Schizosaccharomyces pombe: one gene and its partners. The gene in region 2 interacts genetically with the main gene of each other region. Each region holds a gene or a part of one and is shown on either strand. Other genes may lie near its edges.

Evidence for each region.
Region 1: mutations in prp22 (region 2) and mug151 together harm fitness more than expected from each alone (negative genetic interaction), as found in Schizosaccharomyces pombe (one large-scale study listed by BioGRID).
Region 3: mutations in prp22 (region 2) and atd1 together harm fitness more than expected from each alone (negative genetic interaction), as found in Schizosaccharomyces pombe (one large-scale study listed by BioGRID).
Region 4: mutations in prp22 (region 2) and arv1 together harm fitness more than expected from each alone (negative genetic interaction), as found in Schizosaccharomyces pombe (one large-scale study listed by BioGRID).

Annotation. Positions count from the first base shown.
Region 1 is NC_003424.3:1,932,992-1,936,766, reverse strand, and holds mug151 (transcriptional regulator HCNGP-like protein), read right to left. Parts: upstream 1,454-3,775; 5' UTR 1,411-1,453; coding exon 970-1,410; 3' UTR 809-969; downstream 1-808. Other genes in the region: protein Mdm31, read left to right, coding at 1-431, 533-691; sdd3 (metallopeptidase), read left to right, coding at 2,069-3,775. UniProt on the Schizosaccharomyces pombe protein: Has a role in meiosis.
Region 2 is NC_003424.3:1,205,953-1,212,683, reverse strand, and holds prp22 (ATP-dependent RNA helicase, spliceosomal Prp22), read left to right. Parts: upstream 1-2,104; 5' UTR 2,105-2,199; coding exon 2,200-2,272; exon of another isoform or gene 2,273-2,325; coding exon 2,326-5,759; 3' UTR 5,760-5,872; downstream 5,873-6,731. Other genes in the region: CTP synthase Cts1, read left to right, coding at 1-479, 700-1,238. UniProt on the Schizosaccharomyces pombe protein: Acts late in the splicing of pre-mRNA. Required for the splicing of introns with a branch nucleotide to 3'-splice site distance greater or equal to 15. Mediates the release of the spliced mRNA from spliceosomes.
Region 3 is NC_003424.3:4,452,211-4,457,615, reverse strand, and holds atd1 (aldehyde dehydrogenase), read left to right. Parts: upstream 1-1,958; 5' UTR 1,959-2,544; coding exon 2,545-4,056; 3' UTR 4,057-4,336; downstream 4,337-5,405. Other genes in the region: ATR checkpoint kinase regulatory subunit Rad26, read right to left, coding at 4,547-4,975, 5,031-5,405.
Region 4 is NC_003424.3:1,890,162-1,894,726, reverse strand, and holds arv1 (Arv1-like family protein Arv1), read right to left. Parts: upstream 2,184-4,565; 5' UTR 2,174-2,183; coding exon 2,087-2,173; exon of another isoform or gene 1,802-2,086; coding exon 1,667-1,801; exon of another isoform or gene 1,612-1,666; coding exon 1,033-1,611; 3' UTR 881-1,032; downstream 1-880. Other genes in the region: pof15 (F-box protein), read right to left, coding at 3,076-3,807. UniProt on the Schizosaccharomyces pombe protein: Mediator of sterol homeostasis involved in sterol uptake, trafficking and distribution into membranes. Also regulates the sphingolipid metabolism.

The DNA of each region.
Region 1 (3,775 bases), 730 kb from region 2:
GCTTGCGTATTGATAATGTCGCAATCGATCATCTAAATCGAGGTGTTTCGGGAGCATTTGGATGGATTAATGATGGCAGTGTTGATTTTTTAGTTAATATTTCTTTTCCATCAGAACCTTCGGAAAATTCTTTCCAAAAAGCGTGGATAAGTTTGATGGACAAATTGAAAAAGAAAGAAAAAGATGAGGATGTTTACAAAGACGTTCACTTTGATGTTAATGTGCAATTACATAATCCCAAAGCCGTAATTCCTATTTTTACAAATCAAGTAAGCTATATCAACAATGCTTTAATTCGACCTATTATTGCTTACATTAATTCCACACGGACATTCATCCCTATTCTTTGTCATGTATCAAAACCGCTTTCTGACTTTGATGGAAGCTGGACTTTTTACGACAGTGGTGTTTTACAAGAAATTTCGGCGCAGGTAAGTTCTACCCTGTTCCTTACTATAAAAGAGCGTCTTTTCCTAAAATTTAAGAGTAATTTACGCTTTTGAATATTAATAAATACTAATTTTTGATGTAGGTGTATGAATCGTTTGCTCGAGATGTATTAAATCAAGAGATACGAAGAAAACGAATTCAGAAAGTTGGCTACTGGAGTCTTCGGAGGTTTTTGCATTTAGTTTTGGTTTCTTTGCAGGAATTGGCTCCGACAACTTCTTCAATCAGTAATTTCGAATAGTTAAAAGTGATGCTATTTATTATTTACGGTTCTGATTCTCTTCATGAAAGGCTTTTTTGTTCTATCGGTAGTTAAAATTATTATAATAACAATTATTATTTTTGAAAATTGACTAGGGTAAACTAATGACTTAAGCTACTAGCCATATAAATGTCTTATCAAAATTGGCATTTCTGGATCATTTATTCATAACAGGCTAAGGTATTAAATTAAGTAGTCTTATATATATTCGGTAACGAAATTATTTTTACAAACACATTATCTTTTGATACTCAAATTTATTTAGGATGTTGAGAGGTTTGAAATTTAATTTCAGTTCTATCATGCTTTTGGTAATTTTCACGCCTGGCAATCATTTCATCCTGTGATTTAGAGAGTGCGGATGCATAGACGTTTTTATGAAAGTCCGTTGGATCCCACATATCCTTAGATATCATAGTTCCTCTTGGCTCCTTAATATCCAGAAAATCCTGCAAATTATCAAGTAACTTTGGGTTTCTGAAATTTTCATTTTCTGATAGTCTCGTATGAAAATGAATGCCCTTTGCCTTTAATTTTATAAATTGCTTTATCTTTTTCTCCAGCTCTGTGTCAACTTCAGCTTTAGGAGAATTTGGGATTTTCCAATGGGGTTCCTCAGAACGTCCTTTAATATCATTGTTTTCATTTACTAACGAAGTTTGTTCCTCTTCCTCTGAGTCGTAGGCTACCAAAGACATAACTCTTAAAACTCAAAGCATTTAAAGTAGATAGATAGTGTACGGTAGAAGCAAATTAAGTATTGTGCAACCATAGTGGTTGCAAAATATATAGGTTTGCTATTATCATCCAAAAGATGCAGACTTTTTAATTTCCTTAATTAAAACCTAGGAAAGGTAATTTATAAATGCATCTACTGGTTGTTTGTTAACAAGTGTAAAAACCTATAGTTGGACTAGGAGTACATTGCTCGTTCATTTTGAGGTACAAATCACTTTTTAATTACCATATGATAAATCCGTTTTTTACAACTAGTATGTTTGCATTAATAACACAAAACTATCTTTGAACATATCTCAAACCTATTCATTAATAGCGAACGTTTATTCTATTAAGGAGGTGTTTGCAAACCAAACTGAACAGTAACGACGTTACCTCGTCTATACAGTTTATGCATACTAAAGTATGAAATTTCTTGACCATTTTCTTACTACTACTTAGTTGTTACGCTGTTATAGAGGTAATTCTAAATTTCTTTAATAGAGAATCCTTAAACATCGTATTTGTATTCTCTTGTTAAGGATTTTTTATTAAAGTCAACAGCACTCTCGTTGGGAAACGGGACATTGTATTGCTCATTTTGCTCGATTTTGCTGTTTTGGATAACTTTATTAAAGTATGCTTTCTGATGACACATCATTTCGCCAAATCTCAAGTGAGCGTATATTGAATTACACGGTCAACAAATGGATAAACGATGCAACTGGGTTCAGCGTCGCTTCAGTAAAAACTCCAACATCCAGATTACAAGGATCATTTGTAGTAGCAACTGAAGCTCACGATAATCTTGGCTGTCCTCATACCCTTGAACATCTGTGTTTCATGGGCAGTAAAAAGTATCCCATGAATGGCATTCTTACAAAATTTGCTGGCAGGGCATGTGGTGATATCAATGCTTGTACCGATGTTGATTATACTTCATATGAGCTTTCTGCTGCTGAGGAAGATGGATTTCTTCGTCTGTTGCCTGTATTTGCAGATCACATTTTGTCTCCAATTCTAAGCGATGAAGCGTTTTGCACAGAAGTTTATCATATAAATGGTATGGGAGAAGAGTCCGGTGTTGTTTATTCTGAAATGCAGAATACTCAAAGCTCAGAGACGGATGTTATGTTTGATTGTATGAGAACTAGTCAATATCCAGTTACCAGTGGTTACTATTATGAGACTGGTGGTCATCCCAGCGAACTTCGCAAGTTGTCTATCGAGAAAATTAGAGAATATCATAAGGAAATGTATGTTCCAAGCAATATTTGTTTAATTGTGACCGGGTGCATTAACGAATCAAGGCTTCTAAGCTGTGCCTCTGGTATCGTAAAGGAAATTTTAGCTAATGGTATTATCACTCCACCTACGTGGACGCGTCCATGGTGTTCAACTAATGTGGATTACACTATTCCTGAGCCAATTTTGAAAACTGTTAAATTTTCTTCCGAAGACGAATATACTGGATCTGTTTCTTTAGCTTGGAATGGACCCTCGGCCTTAGATGCATACACTGTTTTTGCTATTGAAACACTTTGTGAATTCCTGAGTGAATCTGCCGTCTCCCCATTTGGGCAGACCTTTGTTGAAATTGAAGACCCGTTTTGCTCATTTGTTTATTTTTATGTCTCACTCCGTGTCCCTTGTTCTATTCAGTTGTTTTTTGACAGCGTTCCTTTAGAAAAAATTAATGGCTTAGAACAACGTGCTTTACGTCTTTTGGCCGAAACTAAGCAAATCGACATGAATCGTATGAAGGATTACTTAAAAACACGACGCGATCAATACTTAACAAATCTAGAGGCTTTCCCTAGTTCTCTCTTTATGAAAATTTTGACTTTGGATCATGTTTACGGAAGTCGAGAAGGTAAAGATCTTCCTAACTTATTAAAGATGCTGGAGTACAATAGATTATTAGAGGAATGGGAAGAAAAGGACTGGCTAAAATTGTTAAAAAAATGGTTTGTAGAAAACAATTCAGTGACAGTAATTGCGCTTCCCTCTTTCGAAATGGCTGAAAACATCAAGAAAGAGAATGCGGAGCAGCTTAATAAACGGAGATGTCTGCTGGGGGCGTCTGGATTGGAAAAATTAGCCGAAAAACTGAAGAAATCAAAAGAAAAGAATGAACAAAAGCTTTCTGTTAACTTAATTTCAAGCTTCAGGATAAGTGATCCAGAGAGTATTCGGTTTTACTCATCTACGACTGCTAGGACTCGTTCCGCAGGTCAACCTTTTGACAATGAAGTCCAAACTTATATAGACACTGATGTTTCTTCAGAAAACCCTTTCATCCAGTTCGATCATATTGATAGTTCCTTTGTCCAACTTGCAACGTAT
Region 2 (6,731 bases):
TTTGAAAATTCGTTTCGCACTGGATAAGATAAGTGTATCTCGCGAACTCGCTCTCGCAGGCGAGAATATGTGGAGCTCGTGGAAACATTTAACACAGGGATACGATCATCTTTTCAAGAAGGTCACCATCGTCCTCGTAGGAAAATACACTCATCTTCAAGATTCCTATATATCAGTCATCAAAGCATTGGAGCACTCTGCTATGCGCTGTGGTCGTAAACTTGACCTCCAATGGGTAGAAGCTTCTCATTTGGAAGCTAGTACAAATACTAGTGACCCACTTAGTTACCATAAGGCATGGCATTTAGTCTGTTCTGCCAATGGTATCCTAGTGCCTGGCGGATTCGGCTCTCGCGGTGTCGAAGGGATGATTGCCGCAGCCAAGTGGGCTCGTGAAAATAATACACCCTACTTGGGCATTTGCCTTGGTATGCAAGTTGCCGTTATTGAATTCGCGAGAAGTGTTTGTGGAATTGAAGGTATGTTTTTTGATGCTTTTATTGGACTCCATTTTAAATTTTTAACTGCCTTCTATTATTTTTGGGATCTATAGATTCCATGCACTTACTAGAGGTTTTTGTCATTTTCCGTTGACTCTAACTGTAGACAAGTGCTACATGAATAGTTAAACAGTTATTATTAATTGGAGCATATTTTTTATTTTGCTTCTTTCAAAAGATTTTTAACTAACATTTCTAGGTGCATTTTCTGAAGAATTCGATAAGGAATGCGAAAACAATGTTGTTGTTTATATGCCTGAGATTGATAAGGATAAACTGGGTGGAACTATGCGTTTGGGATTGAGACCTACCTTTTTCCAACCCAATTCCGAATGGAGTAAACTTCGTAAACTTCATAAGATGGTTGATGAAGTTTTGGAAAGACATCGTCATAGATATGAAATAAATCCTGCGTTTGTAAGCCGTTTGGAACAAGGTGGAATTTCTTTCATCGGAAAAGATGAACGTGGTGAGCGTATGGAAATTATTGAGAAACGTGACCATCCTTACTTTGTTGGCGTACAATACCATCCTGAATATTTATCTAAGCCACTTAAGCCCTCCCCACCGATTTTTGGATTGGTTGCGGCCAGTGCTGGCTTGTTGGATGAATTTATTCAGTCTGGTGAGGAAGTCGAATGGAGCAACTTTTCTCATTTTAACGCTGAATCTGCCTTAGCTGACATGAATGACTCTGTTGAAGTTACTGAAGAAGCCACTGTCGTCACCATCAGTTAGAAGTAGGTTATATGGGATTCCGGGAATTAGGAAATAATGTGTGTTTGTTGGTGTGTTTTTCTTTATCTATAGGAAAAATTGGGTTCTGGGGTGTTGACACTATTTATCAATTGTTGTTCTGCTCAAAAGCTTTCTTTTGATGTATCCAGTAATTTTGCAACTGAACCGTTAGTCTAATTAAGCTTAACGTTATAGAGACTATCTAGAGATATGAAATGACTCTCAGAACTTCTGAGCCATTTTTACGGTTATTATATTGTAGACATTTAGAGTAATGCGTTTTGAATGCTCATTACGTGTGAGTTAATCACAGAGGCTCTGTAACAATGCATGCAAATACTGTGTTTAAAATACAGTACAAATGACATAAATCTATTAGCATATGAGGTGCCGTAGTACTGTATTAATATAGATCGATACTTTTCGAAAAGCGCTATTAAAGTATTTACGTTGATTTGCATAGGTAATAAATATGTCAAGTGTACAAGCATACTTGCAAAAAGCACTTCAGTACGTATCAATCGTTGAAAACTGTAGATAGACTTATATATTTTTATATTCGCTACGCCCTGTCATTGATTTAGCCATTAAAACATTCTAGAAATACCTTACGTAAACTTTGACAGTAATTAAACATTCAAGTTGCAAAAATTATTTCTTAATAAGGTACGAAACTCACCCCAGTTCCTATTGTAAACAACACGGACTCAAAGTTCAAATAATAAGTAGAGCCTCGACATTATTATAACGAACTGTAATTCAGCTACCTTATTTGCCTTTGGCGCAACTCGTTGCGTTGACAGCCATGAATATTTATTTGTACAAAGTTAGGAAACGCGATTGTCTATTGCACGCGTTTCATTTTTAACCATACACCTATGTTTGGTATGGAGCAATTTTGAAAGTCTTCTTCAAACTTCGATTTAATTTTTAGTGAATCCTAGTGGGAGAAAAGACAATAATGGACGATCTGAAAGAATTGGAGTATTTATCCTTGGTATCTAAAGTTGCCTCTGAAATTCGAAATCATACTGGTAAGTAGTAGGCTTTAATACTCATTTTTTTATAAATAATTAACCAAATCTAGGAATTGACGATAATACTCTTGCAGAATTTATTATTAATTTGCATGATCAGTCTAAGAATTACGATGAGTTTAAAAATAATGTCCTTTCATGTGGAGGAGAATTCACCGACAGTTTCCTTCAAAACATAAGTCGATTAATTAAGGAAATTAAGCCTAAAGATGACATTCCCACTGATAATGTAAATAATGGTAGTAACTCGGTCAATGGAGCTTCGCATGATTTAGATAGCAAAGATGTTGACAAACAACACCAAAGAAAGATGTTTCCTGGCTTAAGCATCCCAAATAGCACGAATAATTTAAGGGATAGACCAGCGCTTATGGATAATGCTATGGACGAGCTGGAAGAACTTTCGACGTTGGCCAAAACAAGGAGAAACGATAGGGATTCTAGGAGGGATGAGCGGCATTACCTCAATGGAATAAGGGAACGTAGAGAGAGATCAATTAGTCCCAGTTTTTCGCATCATTCACGTACCTCAATTTCTGGTCAATCACATTCTAGTCGATCATCGCGTGGTCCATTGCTAAATGCTCCAACATTGTATGGAATTTATTCTGGTGTTGTCTCAGGTATTAAGGACTTTGGTGCCTTTGTAACTTTGGACGGCTTTAGAAAGAGAACTGATGGTTTGGTTCATATCTCAAATATCCAATTAAATGGGAGATTGGATCATCCTTCAGAGGCTGTTAGCTATGGACAACCTGTATTTGTAAAAGTTATTAGAATTGATGAATCAGCAAAGCGAATCAGCCTGTCAATGAAGGAGGTGAATCAAGTTACAGGTGAGGATTTGAATCCGGATCAAGTTTCACGTTCTACAAAGAAGGGTAGTGGAGCAAACGCTATTCCATTATCAGCCCAAAATTCTGAAATTGGACATGTGAATCCACTTGAAACGTTCACTTCAAACGGTCGGAAGCGTTTAACATCACCTGAAATATGGGAGTTACAGCAACTTGCTGCATCCGGTGCAATTTCCGCTACGGATATTCCTGAACTCAACGATGGATTCAATACTAATAATGCTGCGGAAATTAATCCCGAAGATGATGAAGACGTAGAAATCGAACTTCGTGAAGAAGAACCTGGATTTCTCGCAGGACAAACCAAAGTTTCATTAAAGCTATCTCCTATAAAAGTTGTAAAGGCCCCGGATGGTTCATTGTCCAGAGCAGCAATGCAAGGGCAGATTTTAGCAAATGATAGACGAGAAATAAGACAAAAGGAGGCAAAATTAAAGAGTGAACAAGAAATGGAAAAGCAAGACTTATCCCTCTCATGGCAAGACACTATGTCGAATCCTCAGGATCGGAAATTTGCCCAAGATGTGCGAGACTCAGCTGCTCGTCAACTTACTTCTGAAACTCCCAGCTGGCGTCAAGCAACACGAAATGCAAATATATCCTACGGTAAAAGAACAACACTGAGCATGAAAGAGCAAAGAGAGGGTCTTCCAGTTTTTAAACTTCGTAAACAGTTTCTCGAGGCTGTCTCAAAAAACCAAATTTTGGTTCTACTCGGTGAAACCGGTTCCGGTAAGACCACTCAAATCACTCAATATCTTGCTGAAGAAGGTTATACCAGTGATAGCAAAATGATAGGTTGTACTCAACCTAGGCGTGTAGCTGCAATGTCTGTTGCCAAACGTGTAGCAGAAGAAGTGGGATGTCGTGTTGGTGAAGAGGTTGGTTACACTATTCGTTTCGAAGATAAGACCAGTAGAATGACCCAAATTAAATATATGACTGATGGTATGCTTCAACGAGAATGTTTAGTTGATCCTCTTTTGTCCAAATATTCTGTAATTATTTTAGATGAAGCACATGAAAGAACCGTTGCAACTGATGTACTTTTTGGACTGTTAAAGGGAACTGTTTTGAAACGGCCAGATTTAAAGCTAATTGTTACTTCAGCCACGCTAGATGCTGAGCGGTTTTCGTCTTATTTCTATAAATGCCCAATTTTTACGATTCCTGGGCGTTCATATCCCGTCGAAATCATGTATACAAAACAACCAGAAGCCGACTATCTTGATGCTGCTTTGATGACTGTTATGCAAATCCACTTGAGCGAAGGACCTGGTGATATATTAGTATTTCTGACAGGTCAAGAAGAAATTGATACTAGTTGTGAAATATTATATGAAAGAAGTAAAATGCTAGGAGATTCGATTCCTGAGCTAGTTATTTTACCTGTTTATTCAGCGCTTCCTTCGGAAATACAAAGTCGTATTTTTGAACCTGCTCCCCCAGGAGGTCGTAAGGTAGTAATTGCAACCAACATTGCTGAAACTAGTTTAACAATTGATGGAATTTATTATGTGGTGGACCCTGGGTTTGTCAAGCAGAGCTGCTTTGATCCAAAACTAGGCATGGATTCTCTAATAGTTACGCCAATTTCTCAAGCACAAGCTAGGCAAAGAAGTGGTCGTGCAGGGCGTACAGGACCCGGAAAATGTTATCGTCTGTATACTGAAAGCGCTTACCGAAACGAAATGTTGCCTTCCCCGATTCCTGAGATACAACGCCAAAATTTGTCGCATACTATTTTGATGTTAAAGGCAATGGGAATTAACGACCTTTTGAATTTTGATTTTATGGATCCTCCACCTGCTCAAACCATGATAGCCGCCTTGCAAAATCTGTATGCACTGTCGGCCTTGGACGATGAGGGATTGCTGACTCCTCTTGGGCGAAAAATGGCAGATTTCCCGATGGAGCCTCAATTGTCAAAAGTATTGATTACTAGCGTAGAATTAGGTTGCTCTGAAGAAATGTTGAGTATTATTGCCATGCTTAGCGTACCTAACATTTGGAGCCGACCAAGGGAGAAGCAGCAAGAAGCTGATCGACAACGAGCACAATTTGCAAATCCTGAGAGTGATCACTTAACCTTACTTAATGTGTATACGACTTGGAAAATGAATCGTTGCTCAGATAATTGGTGTTATGAACATTATATCCAAGCCCGTGGTATGCGTCGAGCTGAAGATGTACGCAAACAGCTTATTCGCCTAATGGATCGGTATCGACACCCAGTTGTTTCATGTGGAAGAAAGAGAGAACTTATTTTACGGGCTTTGTGTTCTGGCTACTTTACCAATGTTGCCAAGCGAGACTCTCACGAGGGATGTTACAAAACGATCGTGGAGAATGCTCCTGTATACATGCATCCTAGTGGAGTTTTATTTGGAAAAGCTGCAGAGTGGGTGATATACCATGAACTGATTCAAACGTCAAAAGAATACATGCACACGGTAAGCACAGTGAATCCAAAATGGCTTGTGGAAGTTGCACCAACATTCTTTAAATTTGCCAATGCAAATCAAGTTTCCAAAACCAAGAAAAATCTCAAGGTGCTACCATTGTACAATCGATTTGAAAAACCCGATGAGTGGAGGATTTCAAAGCAACGAAAGGGAGGTCGTTAATAATTTTGTTGTTTATTATTTATATAAAATGTATTAATTAGATATGTTGTTTTGGTACTACAAAAAGATATGGGGGTCATAAATAAAATCTTTGTTGATATATTCAAAATCGTACTTTGAAGTGTCTTAGCTGGCTATTAGTTCGTGAGACGTTTAGAAAACGAGCAGTATATGTTGGGTTTTAGTTCTGCTTGGTTATGAAAATAGTGGACAGCTTTCCAAGTGCTGCAAAGTACAAGGGTAATTCAAAGTACAAGAGTATTTCATAGTACGAGATGACGCCAAAAATCCCTCTCTACTGTGGAAAGGAAAAAAAAAAAACTGATCACCGGCTAGACCCAAACACTCTTATGATATGGCAGCATACAACGTGTAAATTACTCTCATTCTCGCTCGAAATAACTCTAACCCCTAGCCGAGACAATATTGAGCCATCTGTCGCTTGCCTTAGATCTCTGTGATTGTGCTTACCACCTTAATCAAAGCGCGCGTTAAAATTAATGCCATTCCACGCAATACCACGTAATAATGCTGTTGGCTTACAGTATTGCGTGCCCCGTTACAAAATGATCCGTAATTTTCAGGCGATGGGAATAATAAGGTTGTATAATCCAGAGAAGTAATCGTGTTAAGGAGATTTGAGAGAAATTTGCTTCTCCTGAAAAGCTGGGGAACTCATCGTAAGATTCACAAACTGCTTAGATGCCAACACCTGAGACTTGGATCCTAGATTGCGACCCACCTCATTGGACGGTACACCTGCAAAAATATGTTACCTCAGGTAGCTTCCTTCAGTGTCTGTATTGCAGTATTGCGTCTTATCACGCAATTGTATGAACACCGATACGCTTGAAGTAGGACTGTATATACATTGAGTAGGCACGGAGTTGTTTTCAAAAAACCACCACCAACCTTTTAAACGAATTTTTCAAGGAATTTTGGAAATTGCTGTTTCAGTATCGATTTTCGCAC
Region 3 (5,405 bases), 3.2 Mb from region 2:
ATTTTCCTTTGTTGCATGCTTTATACCATAGCAGGTTATGCACTAATCACATGGACTATAAACGAAGACAAATGTCCGAAGGTGGTCAAAGTGCGAACCGCTTAACGAACCTTAACACAACAGTGTCAAGAGAAAGCTTCGCATGTTGAAAATTTTAAAAAGACGCAGAAAGGATACTTTTGCAGTAGCAGCAATAGGTCGACCAAAATACTGGCTCATAGAAAGTAGTAGTATTATATTTATGATGCTAAAGAGGTTGCTAATTAGGATGCAAGCGATGGGAATATCAAAGAAATGTAATAAAGAGTAGTAGGGACAAACACTCAAGAAATAGAATTTTATTTTATTTTTTTATATTTTATTTTTCTTTAGTAACAAATGGAACTCTGGTTCGTTAAGTGAAAACAAAAAAAAAAGACACGTTGGCATAAAATCGACTCACATTCATCAATCAAGACCAACTTTGAAACACATTATACTGCTACTACTACTACTACATTACAACCGTTGTGTTTTTGTTTTACAACTACCAATCCAGTCAATCCCCCACATAGACCAAAATCTCCCACACACGTGAACCCCAGTCCAAGTCTTCACCAGTCCCCTCCATCCCACCCTTTCCTAGTCTTAACGCTCACCCTACCCCCATAAGGATCGAAATCCCCCACTTTGCGACTTTCAAAGTACTGGGCGGAAACTGGCGTAGCTAATGTCTAAGATGTCAGCGTAGGTGGCGAATTTTAGTGTCTCGGGTATATCTGTTTACACAAGCGTTTGCTACTATTACCAATTCCTAAATACAGAATAATGGTTTAACCAACCGCTCGATAAACTCTGTTTCCCATTTTTTTACTCTCATCGCTTGGCCATGATTCGCTTCGCATGCATTAAAGTAATTACGGCACATTGACGTAATAAACCTTATTTTGAGGTCGTACGAAAAGAGCCCAACTCCTCGCGGCCGTAGTGGACGTGCGGGTCAACAAACCAAACTAAACAAACGCTATCAGAAGATTAAAGTTTCTTTTGTTATGCATATGTATGAAATCCCACTTTTGTTTGTGTATCAACGTTTATGCTTGGTTATTCAACGTAATGGCTTATCTACGTTTATGCTTTCCATTCATTTATCCACGTTAAATGCCGCACGTAACGTACCATGATAAGAGATGTTTTGGTAGGGAAAATTCAAAGGGCCCAGGGCCGAACTTCTCGTGTTGATGGGGCAGGAACGTGTGAGAAGGGAATTCGCCATAAAGCAGAGAATACTAACAGTTACCAGTGGGTCGAAGCTAACAAAACCAACAAGTTGAGCAAAGCAAATGAAAAGCGAGTTTGGGATTTTCGGAGAGCGAAAGAACATGGGGTTTCCTGCGAAAATGACCCATTTTGACTAGATTAGCCCAAGGTGCTCCCATTTTCTCAGCGCATCGCATTCTTTGGGAAATAAGAGAAGGAAGAAAATTTAAGAAGCGAAAGCGCACTATGCAGATGGCGCTAGAAGTTGCTTTGCTTTTTGCTACTAGACTAGACTAGGTTGGCTGGCATCGGAGTTTCAACGTCGTTCGTCTTTCATCGTTCCTCGTTTGTTAATATCAAATTTTCGATATAGTGAATTGTATTTCCGAGTATGCAATTCCCTCTAAAGCATATTACTATTGCACAGTGAGATTTGGGAGGGAAGCTTTGCGTACGCTAGCACATATGAAATCTTGTGATTTTTGAGGGTGTCTCTTCCTTTGATTCGCCAAAATTAAGCATTGACATCATGGGGTAAGGTGTCCTGTTTTGTCATTCGTCGTTGTTTGAATTAGATCATGTATAGGAAATCATTCGTCCAGGTGTCGGTCTTTTGTGTCACCATTAATCAGTAGGAGTTGGAGCTTTGTTTACTAATCATCGTATAAGTCATATATGATTTTTACTATAAATATTGAATTCGCCCCCCTTTGCAGTTCACTGAAATAAGTAGAACAGCACGGTCTTTTCGTTTCTACAACACGCTTGCTATTCTCTTATTAGTATATTCCTCTATCTATAGTCTTTCCTTCACTTCCTACATCCAAATTGATATAGGTTTCCTTTGTGGTATTATTACTAACAACGACAATTGATTGTTTTAATTCATTGATTTTGTCGTCTTTCGGTTTTTATCACATTTTATAAAAACTGCATCCCCCTCTTCTTAAGAATAATAAGAGGCCATTGTTTATTTACCCCGGTCCTTTTCTGACCATCTAATCTTTTCGTATTAGGTGCTCTTTTACTTATAGTTTGGTTTCGCCCATAACTTTTTGACGACGTTGTTTACTTTGGTTGATATAAAATTATTTTATACAATCGTTAACACCTCATATTTTCCATTTCATTACTGATCTTTTGGTTTTGTCCTGTGTTTGCATTTCAATTCAGCTCTGCCAAATTTATCCCACTACTTCATTTTTTATCTTTGGTTTTTTTTTTTTTCTAGTTAATTTTTTAATTACTCTTACTCATTTACGACAACGACCCCTTTTCTCAATTTTTTAATACAAACTTTTCAAAATGTCTACAAAACTCGTTGATCACGTCGAAATTACCGTTCCTACAGGAAAAACTTACATTCAACCTGTCGGTCTCTTTATCAATAACCAACATGTCGATTCCGTTCACGGTGGTCGTGTGAAGGTTTACTCTCCTTCTACTGAGAAACTTATTTGTGAGGTAGCTGACGCCGACGAAGAGGATGTCGATATCGCCGTGAAAGTTGCTCGTGCCGCTTTCCAGACCGATGCTCCATGGCGCAAGTTTTCCAGCGCTCAACGTGGACGTTGCCTCTCCCGTCTCGCTGACTGTATCGAGCAAAACTTGGAATACCTCGCTTCTATTGAGACTCTTGACAATGGTAAGAGTATCACTTTGGCTAGAGGTGACGTTCAAGCTGCTGCCGATTGTTTCCGTTATTATGGTGGTTGGGCCGATAAGGATTATGGTCAAACCATTGAAACCGACATTAAGCGTTTTGCCTATACTCGTCACGAACCCATTGGTGTATGTGGTCAAATCATCCCCTGGAATTTCCCTTTCTTGATGTGCGCTTGGAAAATTGCTCCTGCCGTCGCTTGTGGTAATACTATTATTTTGAAGACTGCCGAACTCACTCCTCTTTCCGCTCTGTGTCTTACCAAGTTTGTTCCTGAATGTGGCTTCCCTCCAGGTGTCATCAATGTTCTCAGCGGTGATGGTCGCCGTTGTGGTAACGCTATTAGTTCTCACATGGACATTGATAAGGTGGCCTTTACCGGTTCTACCGGTGTCGGTCGTATGGTTATGCGTGCTGCCGCCTCCTCCAACCTGAAGAAGGTCACTCTTGAATTGGGTGGTAAGTCTCCCAATATTGTTTTCAACGATGCCGATTTGGACTCAGCTGCTGTCTGGACTAACTATGGTATCTTTTACAACTCTGGTCAAGTCTGTTGTGCAGGTAGCCGTGTCTACGTGCAAGAGGATGTTTACGATGAGTTCATTAAACGCATGGTTGCCAAGGCCAAGACTTTGAAGGTTGGTGATCCTTTCGCCGAAGATACCTTCCAAGGTGCTCAAGTTAGTAAGCAACAGTATGAACGTATTGTTAGTTATATTGAGAGTGGCATTGCTCATGGTGCCAAATTAGAGATTGGTGGTAAGCGTCATGGTAATCTCGGTTACTTTGTCGAACCTACTATTCTCTCCAACGTTACCGAGGACATGGCTGTCGGTAAGGAGGAAATTTTTGGACCCGTTCTTGCCGTCATTAAATTCAAGACCATCGAGGAGGCCATCCGTCGCGGTAACAACAGTACATATGGTTTAGCTGCTGGTGTACACACTAACAATATTACCAATGCCATCAAGGTCAGCAATGCTCTTGAAGCCGGTACTGTTTGGGTGAATTGTTATAACTTACTTCATCACCAAATTCCCTTTGGTGGTTATAAGGAGAGTGGCATCGGTCGCGAATTGGGCTCTTACGGTCTTACCAATTATACTCAAACAAAAGCTGTTCACATCAACCTGGGAATGGATTCTCCCATTTAAGGAAATCAGACGCAAATATTTTTTGTAAAAAAAATAAAAAAATATGCATTCAATGGATAAAGAATGAAGAAAAACTCTAGTGAAGAGAATTATTGGATTTTTCTCTTTATGTTATGAATGTTTACAGTTTTTCTTGAAACTCTTCTATGACGGATTTTCTTTATTATGAATCAAAACGGTTTTGATATTTGAACTTTCAAATGCATTTTATTGAATTTACATAGTGATGATTCTTTATGTTAGTGGTACTTTAATATATTCATTTTCGTTAATTGCTAGATGATTTTATTTGCAGGTAAATATAGCCGTAAGTTTTACTAAAAGAACGGAATGGGGATGTTTTTGTGGTACGCATTCCTTTGGGGAAACAGATTGATTTGTATTTAATTTGCGAGGATGTGGGTGCGGGACGGGAAAGAACAACACTGAAGAAACAAGTATCATTATTTCATTTGAAAAATTAGGGAAATAGATTCATCTGTTTCATTATCTAAAAATTAGTGTACAACTGCTCCAGCTCTTCGGGAGAGACGCAAACTTCCAACAATTCTGTAGTGAGAAAATACATTTCCTCACCCAAATTGCCAAACGCTTTTTGTTCAGTATCGCCGAATGCGCAGCATGCTATTGCATAAACGAAACGAGGTTGTAACGCATTTTCAGCTAACATAAATTTTGATGATAAATCTTCGGAAGATAAAATGTACAGAAGCCGAACAAGAGATACTAAAATCTCTACGCATTCATTTTGAGGGTACATTGACGAAAGGAGTTGCTGATGATACCAAGTGATGGCTAGTCCGATGCATACTATTAAGGGATTGCATACTTTTAAAATCTCTTTACCAATGTTTCCAGACATTTGTATAAACACGGTAAAAAAGGATATGACAAAGCGATGAAGCGTTATCCATTCATTCTAATTTGTTAGAAATAAGCAATGCAAAGATTATAAGCACAATTCGTAAACGTACCAATTCAGGAAAATTAATCCTTTCCCTAGTAGTAACAACTAAAATATGGGCCATAGTTGTGAAAAGTTGCATGAGTGATTCTTGGGATTTATCATCGGCATTTAACAAGTTAACTGAAGCGCAAAACGAAGGAGTGGTGGAACTAATAATTAAACAAACACCACATTTAATCAAAGAAGGAGCATTTTGCACTCGAATGCAGGATTCGAATAACGACGGATCAACCGCTTTAGTAATGTTTGCAAAGTCATCAGCACTTTCACGTGCTATAGATAAGTATAAATAAAGAAAATCTATTAAAACGTAAAACTTTGAGTCCAAAAAATTGCTTTTTTCGTATTCCTTAAGAAGAAAACCACTTATTAAAGAAACGAC
Region 4 (4,565 bases), 680 kb from region 2:
ACGGAACTTATTTGCACAAAAACTTTTTACCGTTACAAATCTAATTCATTATACAACCCTCCGAAATCGGAAAGAATATTTTTCTGCTGCTTTTTAATAGGGCTACATCCAACTGAAGATTAGTCTGCCAACCTAATCTTCAAGTTTTCCATTCTTCACTAAAAGCTAATGTAACCTGTTATTAATTGATTTAACATACTAATTATAAAAAGCTGACATCTTAGCTACACACTAAATTATTATTATTATTATTTTTAAATTTTTTTAAAAGCACAAAATGCAGCACATGTAGCAAAACAACGCTATTTTTTTTTTTTGAATTGGGTTTAAAAAATAGTTTACTGTATTCAATCTCAACGGGTCTGATTGCATTTGCTTACAGTTCTATAAATTACTTACTTTCTAATTTTTATTTCATTTAAAACTTACTGAAATATTCATTCGCTTACTATGAGTTTATTTTACATTACGAGCTAAGACGGTGTTAGCTGACCTGGTTGCTTCTATAACTAAACAAATGTATAATGAACAAAGACTTATATACATATATTGATTAAATATTTAAAAAATATCGTAGCTGATAAAATTGTGATGGGTTCTTTAGCGACAGCAAAAGCAAACCTCTGAACTTTGTTATTAAAAAAATGCAACAAATTCCACTGGTAAGAAAAATATCTTCGAATGATCATTTGTTTAGTTATGCTCAGCAAAATAGTTTTACTTTTTTCAGTTTTTTGCCTTTTTTATTTCCTTGCAGTGTTTCCTCTATATAATTGTATCTATTACATATCTATATGCTTTGAGGGTGTAATTATTATTTTTATTTAGACCATTTCAAGTTTCATATTACAAGATTAGGAAATATGATTACTGGCTTCGGTTTCAATTGGTTCATCAAATTCATATTTTTTAAATATCAACAACTTATTAAAGAACTAATAATTGACCAGTTTCTTAAAACGGGTGATATAAAAACTTTTAATAACTGATACACTATGTCGATGCCGTATTGTTTCCCATTTCCTTTTGTCATTATACTGCAGTTTGCGCAGTTAAAGTGATTGAACGAAAGTATACACATAATAGATTTACAAAATGCTGAAACCCATCACAAGGAGTTGATGGTTGAATCTGTGAAAGTCCTGTTAAATGTAAAAAAATATAAACGACAATAGATCTCACGAGACTGGCAAAAAGAACGATTAAGCCAATTTTAAAATACCGCCGGCTTCCAGTTAATATACATAGCGCATCCACATTGCTAAACAAAACTACCCATTCTACGACGGTTGCCGCTATAGAAAGGTCGTAGTCCCAAATTACCATGAAAACGGGTAGCATTCTTGTGCTAGAAGAAAGTATTACAGCGCCAGACGCAGAAGTCCAAGATTTCCAACCCATTGTTAGGCATAATAACAGAACTACTGAAATTTGATACACAGTTGTCTCAACCAAACATATTAGCAGTAAAGTCAAGTACTGCCGGATAATTGGCTGGGAGAGAAATGCTTGGGCAGGTGTGAAGTAGGGGAAGAGGGCTGCGCGTTTTTCTAGTCGTGACCAAACTAAAAAAACGTTGAAAAGGGAAATTAATATGCAGAAATTGACAACCTTTGCGCATTTTGTCAGCTATTTAAAAAGCCATTGAAATGAATAAAATACTTACGTTACGAAATGTTCGTGCCGACAGAGAATTAAACAAAAGATGACGGTAAACTTGCGGTTTCATCAAAATTACATCCATGCTGATGAGAACAACATCTAATTCAATGTATTTGTCCGCAAACTGTTTGCAGTTTTTCTGTAACATAGTCGTTAGTTTGAAATTGTACTTAAAAAAAACTAAAGAACAAGTCGATCTTAACGATTACAGCAAGACTACGCATTCCACTCTCAGTATTCATTAAGCAAGATAAATGGAGACAAAAATTGAATGATCGTCATTTGCTTACAATAATGTAAATTATATTTGAAGAGAAAAATATTCATGAAGCTTCTTTTCGTCGCCGTTGGAATGGACTTGCCCTTAGCTCCTTACGATCAAGTTGACTACATCAACGAAACATATTGTGTGTATATTACTTACGCATTGAGCTAGTCGAATATTACTGGTACCCCTTCCATAATATGTGTATAAAGAATCGACTTCCGCGCCGCATTCGACGCATTTCATGGTGACGGGTGGTGGTGTCAATGTATTGAGGTATGTTTATGAACCAAACATTCGTATTCTTGGTTGACATGTAAAAACAATGAAGATATATAGAATTTAAAGAAAAAATGAAACAAGTAAGCTTATCTTTATTTGCATAGAAACATAAATACTAAAACTTATCCCAGAGTTCTACCAATTTTAAATTTTATTTGAACACTACCCAATTCCGTTAACAGACGAGTTGTAAAGCCAAAAAACCACCAATGTCAAACCTAAATTTTACAGTTCTTCAATAATATAAACAAATACTGCTTTCACTACATATTTAAAAGATTTGCGAAATAACCACGTCGATTCCAGCATAAAATCACTAACTCTCAAAACAATGCAGACTGACTGGAGCGAAAGAACGTAGTATAGACTTAGTCACATTTACAAGATTAAGCGTCTATTAAAAAGATTTTACAAAGGCTAAAATATTCGTAGAAATGAGAAACGTGAAAACAACATTCAATTGATTGAGCAATTTAAAAAAAGGTAGGTTTTTACTTTTCAGTACAACAAAAAAAAGTTTATTAGAAAAAAAATGTTAAGAAATAAATTTTGTACATGAAGCCAAATGCTGAATGAAATTAAAACAACGCTGAAAAAAAAAACCAGTCGACTGCGTAAAATGTATAAACGCATTTATTAAATGAGAAACCAGGATGTATTAACACAGCAAAACATACATCACAGGTAAATTAAATTTTTAATTAAAAGAATAATAAGTACAAAATGTCAAACAAAGAAGTCGTGAGCGACACAGGCTTGTCAAGCAACGAAAATAAACATTAAAAGAAAACGGAACGCAATCATGATTGTCTCATGAGAATTAAATAATAGAATATTAAACAATGCAGAATGGAAAAAGTTCTTTTTTAATGTACTCTTTTCTCGAGGCAAGATAAAAGGTACTCCGTTTGAACAATAACAGATGTAACAGAAAGATCATACTTTCCAGGAGCAGCATCAACTCTTGTAACAATTAGACCGATGACATGTTGAGTGTTTTGATCAAACCAAAGTGTTTCAGGTTGACCGGGTTTTATCGAATCAAGCCAATCCCGGCGGACACGAATAGGATCTTGAAAGCAAGAAAATATATCGGCTTGATGACGATCGCAGGAAGAACGAGACAAGGTAACGTGAATTCGAACATTGATATGGGGAGCAAGAAACTCCCCAGGGTATCGTTCAAAAGAAGCTAGATCCTCGTCGTCCTCAAAGGAGATTTGAAAAATAGAGGAGCAATTGTTAGGATCCAAGTGGAATACCGAATAACCATCATATTGTAAAGAATACAAACCGCGACGGGCAGACAAGTTGCAAATCGGTGAATCGGTATAGACATCCTTTGCAAAAACGCGAAGTGAATATTCGTCTAAGAAGGAAAGACGAGCACGAATGATCTTGTTGGCAATCAAAGTCAATGGATAACTGGCGAAGCTAGACTGGATAACGTCGTGTGCAGGTAAATACTGCATGACCGAGTCAATGACTTCTACTGGAAGCAGAGTAGAAGATGTTTGTTGAGCGTCGAAATTAACGTAGGAATTAGGTTGAAGGGCAGTCTGGGGTACAGACATGGGGGCTCTAGTAACACAGCTCATTTTTTACCAAACCAAAAAAAAAAAGGTAAGAAATAATTTAAAAAAAAAATCGGGCAATTAAGCTGAATAAATAAAGAGAATATAGCACCGATCGATGGAATGTGAATGAAATGAGATGATGGACGATTAACAAAACAAAATATTTCTATTTCGACCTATTCAAACCTCGATATGCGTTTCTATTATGAAGGAAAAAAGACAGTAAATTGTAAACAATTAAAGAATTAAAATGTCTAAACAAACAAGTAGCTCAAAAAGACGGAATTCCAAAATTAGTGAAAAAAGTAAATAAGCAAACTTCTTTTTCTAAAGCCAAGGAATGACTGTCAACGAGACTAGCAATGGGGAAACCTTGCAATTGAACGCTTTACGTCTCACAATACAAGCCTTGGTTTCTGCAGAATAGATGAAAGGAGATGCTCCTTTTTATAAACTAAAAATTTGGCCTTTTGCCTCCTCTCCCAACTGCCGATATCGTAATTAGAGTTGAAATAAAAATGTCCATTTTGAACCTTAAAGAACGAATGAACGAGCGCCAAGCAGTTATTCCATCAAACCGGATCAACTAAAAATGGCGCGAATGGATCTTGCTACTTTGAAGAGTGGAGATTGGTAAATAGTTAAGCGCAGGAAAAAGTTAGTTCATTCACTTGACCAACGAGTGCAGTATAAAGAAAAAACACTTTTCACTTTTCTTTAAACGACTTACGAAAATCATTTTTTTTTTTTTTTTTTGTTTTCAAACTTCTTGTTTTATT